Linked DNA regions of Arabidopsis thaliana. The protein of the gene in region 1 interacts with the protein of each later gene in a pairwise test. Each region holds a gene or a part of one and is shown on either strand. Other genes may lie near its edges. The genes, in order: PIP1C, PIN6 and RBL14.

Region 1 (3,755 bases):
TATTTTCAAGCTCAATTACAAACCAAGATGCAACAATGAAGTTTTATAAAGAAAGAAATCAAATCAGGATCTGGACTTGAATGGAATGGCTCTGATGACAAGTTGGTGGTAAAGAGCCGCAAGAGCTGCTCCAATGAATGGTCCGACCCAGAATATCCACTGCAAACCACAATCAAACCACAATCAAACCAAAGTGACAAAGACATATAGAAAGACAAATCAACCAAATGATGTAATGGGGTACTCACGTGGTCGTCCCAAGCGTGGTCCTTGTTGTAGATGATTGCAGCTCCAAGACTCCTAGCTGGGTTAATTCCTGTTCCGGTGATTGGAATCGTCGCCAAGTGAACCAAGAACACAGCGAATCCGATTGGGAGTGGTGCCAAAATCTGCAAAAAAAATAACCCTAAATTATGAATCTTTTTCTAAACACCCAAAACAATAAATTAAGAGGAATCAAAACAAAATTATACCGGAACGTGGGAGTCACGAGCGCTTCTCTTGGCGTCAGTGGCGGAGAAGACCGTGTAGACAAGGACGAAGGTTCCGATTATCTCAGCACCCAAACCAGAGCCCTTAGTGTAGCCGTGAGCGACTGTGTTGGCTCCTCCGCCGAGAGTTTGGTAAGGATTTGGCTGGAAGCCTTTGACAACTCCGGCGCCGCAGATGGCTCCGAGACATTGCATCACGATGTAAAAGACAGCTCTCGTCAATGACAGCTTACGAGCCAAGAACAGACCAAATGTCACCGCTGGGTTTATGTGCCCACCTGTGAAACACACACACACACACACTCATCAGAATCAACTCTAAATTAAGATCTCTTTGAGAAAAATCGAAAACTAAAAGCAGAGCTACAAGGGTTTGAAGCATGCAACAAAAGACCAATTCTACTTGTATTAAGAAGATAAAAAAAATGGGGTTACCAGAGATTCCAGCAGTACAGTAGACAAGGGCAAAGATCATGCCACCGAAAGCCCAAGCAATGCCTTGGATTCCAACAGAGGCACACATGTTTGGTGCTCTCTTCACTCCCATCACTGTCAATACTGTTATGTATAGAAACAGGAAGGTGGCTATGAACTCGGCGATTCCGGCTCTGTAGAAGGACCACGAACTCAGCTCGCCTGGCTCGAAAAATGGAGCTGGTGGTGGCTCCTTGTAGTCTTTGTCCGTCTGAGCCGATGTACCTATCGGTTGCCTCTCCGGGAACTTGTTAGCTCCCACTCGAACATCCTCTTCTTTCCCTTCCATCTCTATCTAGAAAACGTTCAAGTGTTCTTTGCTTTTTTTCTTCTTTTCTACAATGGGTAATGAGAGTGGCTGAGATAGAGAAAGAATGGTTTTATAGAGGCGAGAGAGAGAGAGAATAGAAAAAGCAAAAAAAACTAACGTCTCGAAACTATTATGATATATTTAAATAATGAGAAATACAGGGAATCATGGATAACGATGATCTTCGTAAAAGCATATTTATTTACGTTAATAATTGTAATAGCCTACTACTTGATGATGTTTAATCATGTAACACAACCCACGCTTATACTAATTCTGTTGCGTTGGCTAACTATTAGTATTATATTCTGAAACTCCTTATAAAGATAGCATGTTTGACCTAATTTATTCTCAAATGCCTTGCTACAGGAGTACTACTCAGTCAGCAGTTAGAAATGTAAAAAAAAATATTACAGTGCCAGAAAACTCACAAAGGACTAACTTTTTGACTAGTCGACGAATTAATAATTTACTTCCGACCGTTGGAGAAGAAAAGGAAAAGAAGTGTGTGGAAAGCGATTGCTTTATGTAAAGTAACATAGTCTCGAACATTGTGCCGGGCCTAGAGTATTTTTAAAATGTTTAATTAAATTACTATGTGTACTACTAGTGACAAAATAATCACAATGATTGTGAATTTGAGGTTTTTCAATTAAACGATATATATTTTAGAAAAAAAGAAAATGAAAATTGGAGATAAGGTTCAATTTTGCGGGGGTTTCCAGCTCAGAAATGGATTTTGCTTTTCTGTGATCACATGTTCGTTTCCCTATTCCCACTTTCCTTTTTCTATCAATCTATTCAAACCTAACAAAAATAAAATTCAAAACTCTGTTGTTGTTATCAATTCACATATTTTTAACGCTATATGAGCCATACTTTACTAGTTAAATGGAGTTTAGTGTTTAGGATTCAAACCCTATTAGTTTTGTTGATGTTGTCTTACCCGAACAATAATTGAATTTATAAACAGATTAACTCTATTGTAGATATCGATTTTTAAAAAACTGAAAAGGGAAACAAATAATCCGAAGCTAAACTATATGATTAAGAAACACCTTTTATTGAACTAGTGGTGGGGTTTGCCATTTTTCGAAACGCAACCCACACACACACATCACAGTCGTCTAGCTGCCCAACCAACAGAATCACGACACGTGGTTGAAGAGGCAAATATGTGTTGGTGGTGTTTACTGGGGCGGTCCCGACCAAAGTCCGTATATGACATCCTTTCTCAGTTGTACAAATCACATTTCATTATAATTCATTTCATCGAATTATCTATCTTTTAAATTTTATCAATATCTTTTTTTGTTAGAGGCGTGGACCGTATGAATGTATGATAGTATAGAAATAGAAATAATAACGTTGGCATTGTTATTTAACAAGCAAACAAATGATTAGGTTGATTGATGAACAAGCAATGACTAGGTTGATGAATTTTAATTGTTACTGACTTTGTCTGTGTACGTAGCTGGTACTTAGTTGGTACATGCCTATCAAAAGAAAAACTAATATTTTGCAACGAAGCAGATCCTTCATTGCTTACATACATGTGGAAAAAGATACGATCAATATTTTAAAAAATCGTGAATTGAATTTTGTTTTATACACACAGACGACAGACAAGCTTCTGACGTGGGCTCAAAACACTAAAACGGCCTCTGAATCAGTCAACACTTTGAGGCATGAGAGATTGATTAAACCACAGACCAAGTCTTTACGACAAATCAACTCGAGCCCAATAGGCTCTAATAAGGCCCAATACGATATAATCGTCTTCTTCCTGTAGAGTCGGGGACCTGGGATTAGTCAATAAATGAGTAGAATTTTTGTAAGGAAGAGAGTAGTTGGTGAGCGTCGCCATTGAAGGGGAAAGCAGCCCAACTTTGCATTGAATGACACTTAAAATCTTTCTCTCAGCAGCTGTCTTCATTTATGATCGATCCTACTTCTTTCTTCTCTCTACCAATTTCAAGATCTGGTCGTCGCTCACAGGAGAAACGTAATGGAAAACAAAGAGACCAAGCAAGAACCAGCAGCAGCAGCTGAGCAAAAGACCGTTCCGTTGATCGAAGATGAGATCGAGAGGAGCAAAGTCGGGATCATGAGAGCTCTCTGCGACCGACAAGATCCTGAAACTAAGGTCCCTATCGATTTCTTTAAGTAAAAAAAGAATTCAACCAGAAAAGTATTGATTTGATAAAAGCCCTAATGATTTGGATTTGCAGGAGGTGGATGATCTGATGATAAGGAGGTTTCTGAGAGCGCGTGACCTGGACATTGAAAAGGCTTCAACGATGTTTCTAAATTACCTGACTTGGAAGAGAAGCATGCTCCCAAAGGGGCACATACCAGAAGCAGAGATTGCAAATGATCTATCGCATAACAAGATGTGTATGCAAGGTCATGACAAGATGGGTCGACCTATCGCTGTTGCCATTGGGAACAGACATAACCCTTCCAAAGGCAACCCTGAC
Region 2 (3,755 bases), about 29 Mb from region 1:
AAAATAAGTGGGATTTAGTGACTATTACTTATAAATTTTATAAAATTAGATTGAATTTCTAATTAGTTAATTCCTAGGGATTTGGAAAGTAAAAGAGACAATGCTAAGTTTTTTTATTTCTGAAAAGCTGCATTTTATGTAGTCTATCAATGTTTTTCTATTCATTAAATCTTTTAAAAGAACCAATGATAAAGAAAAACACGAAAAGAGAAGAAAATTGACTAAACGCCGTCGTGTCAGTGCTAACGAAAAACGAAAACGACACATCTTTCAAAGAAAACGTACCATTGATATCTTTGGCTGCATGTCTTTGCCCAGACTCCCACATCATCTTCGGCGAAGATTGCCGGTATATTCTCCCGGCGGCAGGAGATTTCATCCAAACCGGCGTACCGTTTCCGTTAACGTCAAGCTCGTTAAAGTTCGAGGCACGTGGTGTTGGCTGCAACGAGTAAGCATCGGAGGAAGCATAACCCGAGAGCCTTCTAGGACTTGCACCTAATCCGGGTCGAGTAAATCCGAACCCGCCTAAATCTCCGTTACAAAACATGATCTCGTTACTACCGTTATAAAACTGAAGGGTACCGCTTCCTCCTCCGCCGTGGAAGAAACGGTTATTAGGAGTGTTGACGGAGAAAATCTCGGCGTTAGAAAGATTAGAGGCTCTAGGGGTTAAGCACAAGGAGGAGGACATAACAGAATCAGGTACGGATGATACGGACCGTCGGATCCTGAGCCTGATCCGACCGTTAACATCGGTTTCAGTTTCTGTACGGAGCGGATCCATGCCGTCTAAGGAAATGACGTCATCGTCGACTTGGATCTTGGCGATTGATCCGGCTGCTTGACCCGGAAACTCTGCTCGGATAAGCAACCTCGCTGCTCGGAGTTCAAAGAGGAATAGTAGCAGAGTATACCTATACATGTATATACACTTAGCTTATATTATCATACGTTATAATTAAATAATTCAACTAATAAGAAGCTTGGGTTAGTAAAAACATTTGATTTGGTTGAATTATATCCTAGAGTAACGAAATTCATTTAAGTTTTGGTTACAAAATCCATGAAAAAATGTGTGGTAAAAATATGTGAAATCACAAAATAATTCCATTATTATGAGGTTTTCTAATCAATCACAGGGTAAATGAATAAAGAACGGATAGTAATTTGATAACGTACCAAATGATGCATTGAAGAACAACGAGTTGGACCATGAGGGTTTGAGTGTAATCTCCATACATGGCCTGAAGCAAAGGTATGCCCATAACGAGAGTGTTAGGGAGAGTAGCGATTGAGAATAGAGTGATGAGCCAATCGAGACCACCGGCTTTGAAGAAAACGGCCCATAGAGAGAGCAAAACGAAGACGAAGATTTTGGACAAAGTGTCGGCGAGGATGAACATTGTGTCCATTTTGTAAGGGTTGTTTTGTGAGATGAAGTGGAAAGAGAGGACTGGGACGGCGAAAACGGAGACAAAACGGTTGATTCCGGAACATTGCGCCGGCGTGAAGATCTTGCACCACTTTACCGATCCATAAGCCACGAACATGGCGAAGTAGAGTGGTGCCATGGCACACATCACCGTGTAGAATTCGTTTCCCGTTATCATCTTTTTCTTTGCCTCTTCTTCTTCTTGGTATGTACTATGTAGGTTAAGTTATGTGCCAAATGTTTGTGTGTTGGGTTATATAGAGACTTGTTGACGAGATTACCCCTTAGTTAGCTTCGTTATGAAATTGCATTAGGGAGGGATTAGTGATTATTATATAGATTGGTAAAATACTGCTGCTATACATATATAGTTGGAAATCTATATATAAAGCACTTTCTTTTTCTGGACCTCATCATTATTTTAATCTCTAAAATTCTCATTAAATAGACTCATCACAATTTTAAAATTAATTAATAAGTTGATTTGTTACTCTTTTTTTTTTTTAATTCAACTTCATAATTAAATTATTGAAAATCTAATCCAAACCGGGAAAAAGATTTTAATAGAATATTTAGAATAACTTCATGCAATAGATTTGCTTTGTAACCCGTATAATCATTCTCAATATGTACACGCATAAGTCTCTTATTTCAGAAATCTATATAATAAACAAAATTTCGTAATTCAAGAAAAAAGTACACTTTGTTTACCCAAAATTGAAAATTCTGTGTTTTGCTTAAGTGAGCTTTGCACCCTTATTATTGACCTAACTCTTTTGTTTTCTTTTCTCTTATTTTTACTTTTACAGTATTTTCACTTTTAGCAAGTGTATATCTACTTTTGCAGTATTTTACACTTTTTGCATACAGTTGCAGCAAACTCGGATAAAAAATATCTGTTTATCCAAAACTATCACACTTGGTGTCTTGTCGAAATAGGCTTTCACCCAAATTATCCCCCTAACTCTTTTGTTTTCTTTTATTGATTATTAAACTTCTTATTTCTGGTGTGTTTTATGACGAAAAGCTATATGACTATTCAATTCAAAATCTACTAGAAATACATGCACGAAAAATGAAGATAAAGTATATACTTCAAATTTGAAGCTTTCTAGTTAAAGCTACGGAAATTGGTCAGTCATTAATGACATGACAATTTCCATTTTGTTTTTGTCTCATGCAACTCTTTTGATGTATCTTCCCACCATTATATACCTCGTCTCGCTATGCTCAAGAACAATATCATGAAATTCGTCTTTTAACATATAAAAGAACCAGTTATCAATTATTCAAAAAACAAATTAAAACAATCAATAATGAAGTAGAGTCAGGTTTACTAATTTTCTTAAAATATGGAAAGCTAACATATCTGAAACTAGAAAATGTTTGGAACTTCTGACCATATAAAAGGAATGTAATGAGCTTCTTGTACTAACAATACATATGTCACAATTAAGCAAAGGGTCCACAGAGACATGATTACCTTGTTCTTAATTTATTCACATAGATATACAGAAATTGTACATATATACATAAAGAAAGTGAAAGGAGATCCTCATAGAATCTAAGATCAATGATATCGGCGAAATGGGTGGAGACTTACAGTGTTAGCCTTTTACTCTCAAGCTTAAAAGCCTTTAGCCTTTAGCCTTTTGGCAATTGCAAGAACTAAGTCATACGTAACCTTTTTCTTATAAAATAAATAATTTACTTTGTCAACGAAAGGCTACAAAAAAGTTTGGGATTATTGATTCCGTCCTATATATCTAACCTAAGATAAATATTAAGTAACCCTACTTTCTAACCAAAATGTGCAGACAAGAGTTATGTAGGATAATATATATAATCACTTATAGTTATGATTATTTTCCCCGATGGGTAATGGCATCAAAGCCTCATGTAACCTATATTGTCTGTATATATTAGTACACACATGAATCTGACTAAAACAATTCAGGATAAGCAAGTTTGTTTGTTTCTCGACGACTAGCGAAGCTGTCTTTATCATTCTATATCGTAATGTTATGTCACCTCGTCTCTTTACGTTACCACCAAAGTATACACACGCATATACATATGAAAACACTATGGTTTAAACATTATTAACGAGGTCTTCACTAATATTTTGGAAATATTTATCTAAAAAAGAACAAAAAACTGAGGAAAAAGATGGAAAAAAGAAGGTATGATGATGAGAATGAAGACTAAGAGGAAGCGCATGGGATCGAGGAAAGGGGAAAAAATATGAATAGAAGTGAGATTATTGGTAGGTTAGAAAATCAAATCAAATTCAAGTGCGAAAAATGATGGTTTCATTTCA
Region 3 (3,755 bases), on another chromosome or scaffold:
TACTGTGAGTCTTTCTAGTGTTAGAGAAGAGCAACTTGCTGTGTTATTTCAGCGTAAGGACAACTTACATATGGAGATTTGGGTTACGACTAAGATTGAACCTGAAGAGGTGATGTGGAGCAAGTTGTTCTTAGCAGTGGATATGCAACCACTCACTGATTTTAAGTTTGGAATTGCAGATGCGAGTTTCATCATTGACGAAGAGAAGAAAGTTGTTGTAGTCTTTGCTAAAGACAAAGATGTAATGTATCCCACTCACAACACAGCTTACATCATTGGAGAGGATGGATATTACAAAGAAGTGGATCTCGGAAAAACTACTGATAAAATTCGAGATCCACTTGTGTGCTCGTATGTTCCAAGCTCAGCGCAAATCAAGCAAGGAGGCAAAAGGAAGAAAAAAGGGAAATTGATTACTGATTAACATTTATATCTTGCTTTGTGATCTTCTTCTTTCAACAAAATTTGGTTTGAAATAGGATAAAATTTTGTTAAAATCGAAAGTCTGTGAAACTGTAAGTTTGGTGTGAAGATACTATATTATCTGAATCACTCGCTACTTTCAGCAATCTAATCAAAGGACCAGTTCACGTAGAACCAAATCTTCAACAACAAAAGAGAAGACAAATTGAAGAAACAGATCGAAAAACACGACCACTAACTCTGCTATTCATAAGCTAATGCAATGAATGATTCAACAAAGCTTCATTCACAATCCTTCCTCAGCTTTAAGAATGCGCTCCCGAGATCAACTAAACCTCTCTACTCTTCGACGGCGCAGCTCATCTAAAGGGAGATCATTAGAAGAAGAAAGTGCTGGTCCCTGATTCAGTGACCATCCATTTCCTCTAGCCCGTCCCGAGCCACACATCTCGCAAGCACTTAACCAACCAGAATTGTCATATGTACACGACTGACATCTCCAAATACCAGGTCCTGCTATCCCAGTCTGACCTCTTCCCACTCTTCCTCTCCCCGTAATCCTCCTTCTCCGAGACCTAACCATACCATTCAGAAACCTCAAGGGCCACGTCACCAATCGAGATACACCTCTAACCGCCATAGTGACTGGATCTGAGCCTGAGTAAGAACCTTTCAGCTTCAAATAGATAATACCAGCAAGGATTCCACCCAAATGCCCAAGAAACGAAGCGTTAGGTACAAACATCTGCACTAGAATCAATTCTGCCCAAGCAGCATACTTTGTTGGAACCAAGATACCATACACACTTGAGTAATCCTCAGCTTGAGAATTAAGAACAACTTTCATAGCAAAGAGAACACCCGAGAACCCAACCGCATACTCGTTGTAGTAAGCTCTGTCATAGTCAAACAAGAGAAGAAGCGATTTGGCTAACAACAATGTGACTCCTTGAGACATACCAATAAGAGTAAAGACCATTGAAGCAAACTCACTGCTTCCCATTGATGTCTCAAGCTTGATACCTTTCCAGAGAAGTGACATCATGTTATAGACTAAGTGAGGCTCGTTAACATGGTAGAACGCTGATAGAAATAAACGCTTCAAGTCCTTATGCTGTTCAACAAATACACATCAAGATTAAAAAAAAAAACTTTAACAGAGAATAGAATTAATCAATCAAGAATGATCTAATTAGATATCGAAGAACAAAATCCCTAATTCTCCAGATATTGGTACAAATTTCCCAGGAAACTCAAATTCGAATTTCAGATCGAAATCGGTCAAATTGCAATCAATTTCTCTTGGCGAATGAAGGAATTTATTAAGATTGGTTTACCTTGAAGATGAGGTGAGGATTGAACCAGACCTCACTGATGTGAGGAATAACGGGATCGATAAACGCCGGCCTGAGATAAACGAGAGTGTTCGCGGCCAGGAGACTCGCCGTCACCGGTGGTTTCCACGGTAGTCTATAGTACTCCGCGACGGCGCTTAGAGCCAGCAACGGCAACATTCCGCCTCCACTTCTTCTCCCTTCACCAAAATTCTCCATTTCTTCGTAATTATTCTTTTCTTCTGATCTCTCTGAATCACTTACAAGTAATTAAAATCTCATCTCTTTCACAATATTTATATAGCAGCAGCTTGGTCTCTACGAAAACAAATTCTCCAGAGACTTCTTCGTTTCACTCGCATAAGAACATGTGGGACCCACCACGGCATTTTAGAACTCTAGTTTTTATACCTAATCTCTTCTTGCCTTTTTTCGTTTTTTTTTACTTTATTTTGCAAATCTGAATGACAATGATGCTCAAAGTGAATGTTATTCGAACAAAAAGTGTATACAAACCAAAACCAAAAAAGAAAGAAAGATAATCATACAACACTGAACAATGGATTAAAGGGTAAATATTTAGTGATTGTCATCAGTTTTAGGCCTTGTGTTAATAAGCATTTTACGAAGCATTGTGTTCTCGTTCGTCAAAGTAGAAATCTTCTCTTCGAGCTGGTCATTGTTGTTCTGTAACTCATTAGCTCTTGATTCCAAATCACTCACATACACTTTCTTCCTCTCTCTTGCTTGTTGCGCTGATACTCTGTTCCTCAATAATCTGTAATTTTTCACCACAGTTTCTTTTTTACCATTTCAATTCCACAAATCGAATGCTAAGAAAAAAAAGTTTTTTTACTCATCATTGATTACCTCTTGAGGCTTCTATATTCTTTATCAACAGGGTTTCTTCCACGGCGGCGTTTAGCTGTAGAGACTCCATTTTGAGTCTGGTCAAGCTCCGGATTGTTGACTCCATCGTCGGCGCTGCTGCTTAGAACACATGTTGATCCAGCTGCTTCCATGTCAGGAACCATCAACAACTCCTCATCACTTTCCTCTGAGAATTATACAAACCAATTTCTCTAAACCAAATTAAGTTAAATATTAGATAAGTTTCTTTCAACACCTACCAGTTTTGTGCTTCTTGTGGGAAGAAGACGAACTCGAGTTCCCATTGGGTCGTTGGAGAGACATCAATATCTTTTTGTCTTTTGAGATTTTGCTAAAGACGAGAATAGAGAGGTAAGAGGTTGAAGAGAATATCAAACCAAAGGAAATTGCATCTTTTCTTTCTTCTTTGGGGCCACTCAAAGTCTGCAACTCGTTTCAAACAAAAAAAAAGAGAAAAGTATTGGTTGGCTTATAAAAGAACACGTAGGTTTATGTAAGACCACAAATGCAACTGTTTCAATCCAATGGTGTGTATCTGTGTTTTCTTTTCCACTATATCCCGTTGAACTTATTAATTGATTTATTGTTCTGTTTTGCTTTTAAAGTCTTTGTTCATGATTTCTACGGAAAACAACCTTTAGTGAGTATTCACAGAGCGTGTGGGTTTAGGACAATAATTACTGTCTAGAACCATACAAACGTACTTGCAGACAAAGTCAGAGGCACAACTATGTGTGTGTGTATCTATTTGCATGGCGTAATAGGCATGCATAAACTCATCATGTGGTCATATATCTCGTTTTCTATTTTTTGGTACACAAATAACTCTTTTGTATAAAGACAGCTAACTAATGTTTTGAATTTTTAAATGTTATCTCTTAAAATTAAATTCTACCAATTGTAAATTCAGTCAATCATTCCGAAGCATTTTTTCATGCTTTGTGATTCCGCCATATATTTTCCCATGTTCTTTTTTACGTTTTTCATCATAATTTTAAAGTTTTACGATTTTTTGTTGTTATCAATGAAAATGGACCAAGTAAACTTCTACCGTAATGGTTGCATATTAGATAGTGGACTTATGCGCGCGCGCGGAAACAAAACTTG

The links.
Region 2: the proteins of PIP1C (region 1) and PIN6 interact in a protein complementation assay, tested with the Arabidopsis thaliana proteins (one large-scale study listed by BioGRID).
Region 3: the proteins of PIP1C (region 1) and RBL14 interact in a protein complementation assay, tested with the Arabidopsis thaliana proteins (one large-scale study listed by BioGRID).

The regions. Positions count from the first base shown.
Region 1 is NC_003070.9:225,923-229,677, forward strand, and holds the start of PIP1C (plasma membrane intrinsic protein 1C), read right to left. Parts: upstream 1,622-3,755; 5' UTR 1,255-1,621; coding exon 927-1,254; intron 770-926; coding exon 474-769; intron 390-473; coding exon 249-389; intron 160-248; coding exon 64-159; 3' UTR 1-63. Other genes in the region: AT1G01630 (Sec14p-like phosphatidylinositol transfer family protein), read left to right, coding at 3,284-3,421, 3,507-3,755. UniProt on the Arabidopsis thaliana protein: Water channel required to facilitate the transport of water across cell membrane. Its function is impaired by Hg(2+).
Region 2 is NC_003070.9:28,968,713-28,972,467, reverse strand, and holds the start of PIN6 (Auxin efflux carrier family protein), read right to left. Parts: upstream 1,755-3,755; 5' UTR 1,614-1,754; coding exon 1,183-1,613; intron 918-1,182; coding exon 286-917; intron 1-285. UniProt on the Arabidopsis thaliana protein: Component of the intracellular auxin-transport pathway. Regulates auxin transport and auxin homeostasis. Directly involved in the regulation of nectar production. Involved in unfolded protein response (UPR) activation.
Region 3 is NC_003074.8:6,023,167-6,026,921, reverse strand, and holds RBL14 (RHOMBOID-like protein 14), read right to left. Parts: upstream 2,127-3,755; 5' UTR 1,977-2,126; coding exon 1,761-1,976; exon of another isoform or gene 1,538-1,760; coding exon 749-1,537; 3' UTR 425-748; downstream 1-424. Other genes in the region: AT3G17620 (F-box and associated interaction domains-containing protein), read left to right, coding at 1-424; HYH (HY5-homolog), read right to left, coding at 2,337-2,535, 2,628-2,814, 2,888-2,951. UniProt on the Arabidopsis thaliana protein: Probable rhomboid-type serine protease that catalyzes intramembrane proteolysis. May function in the heat-shock response pathway.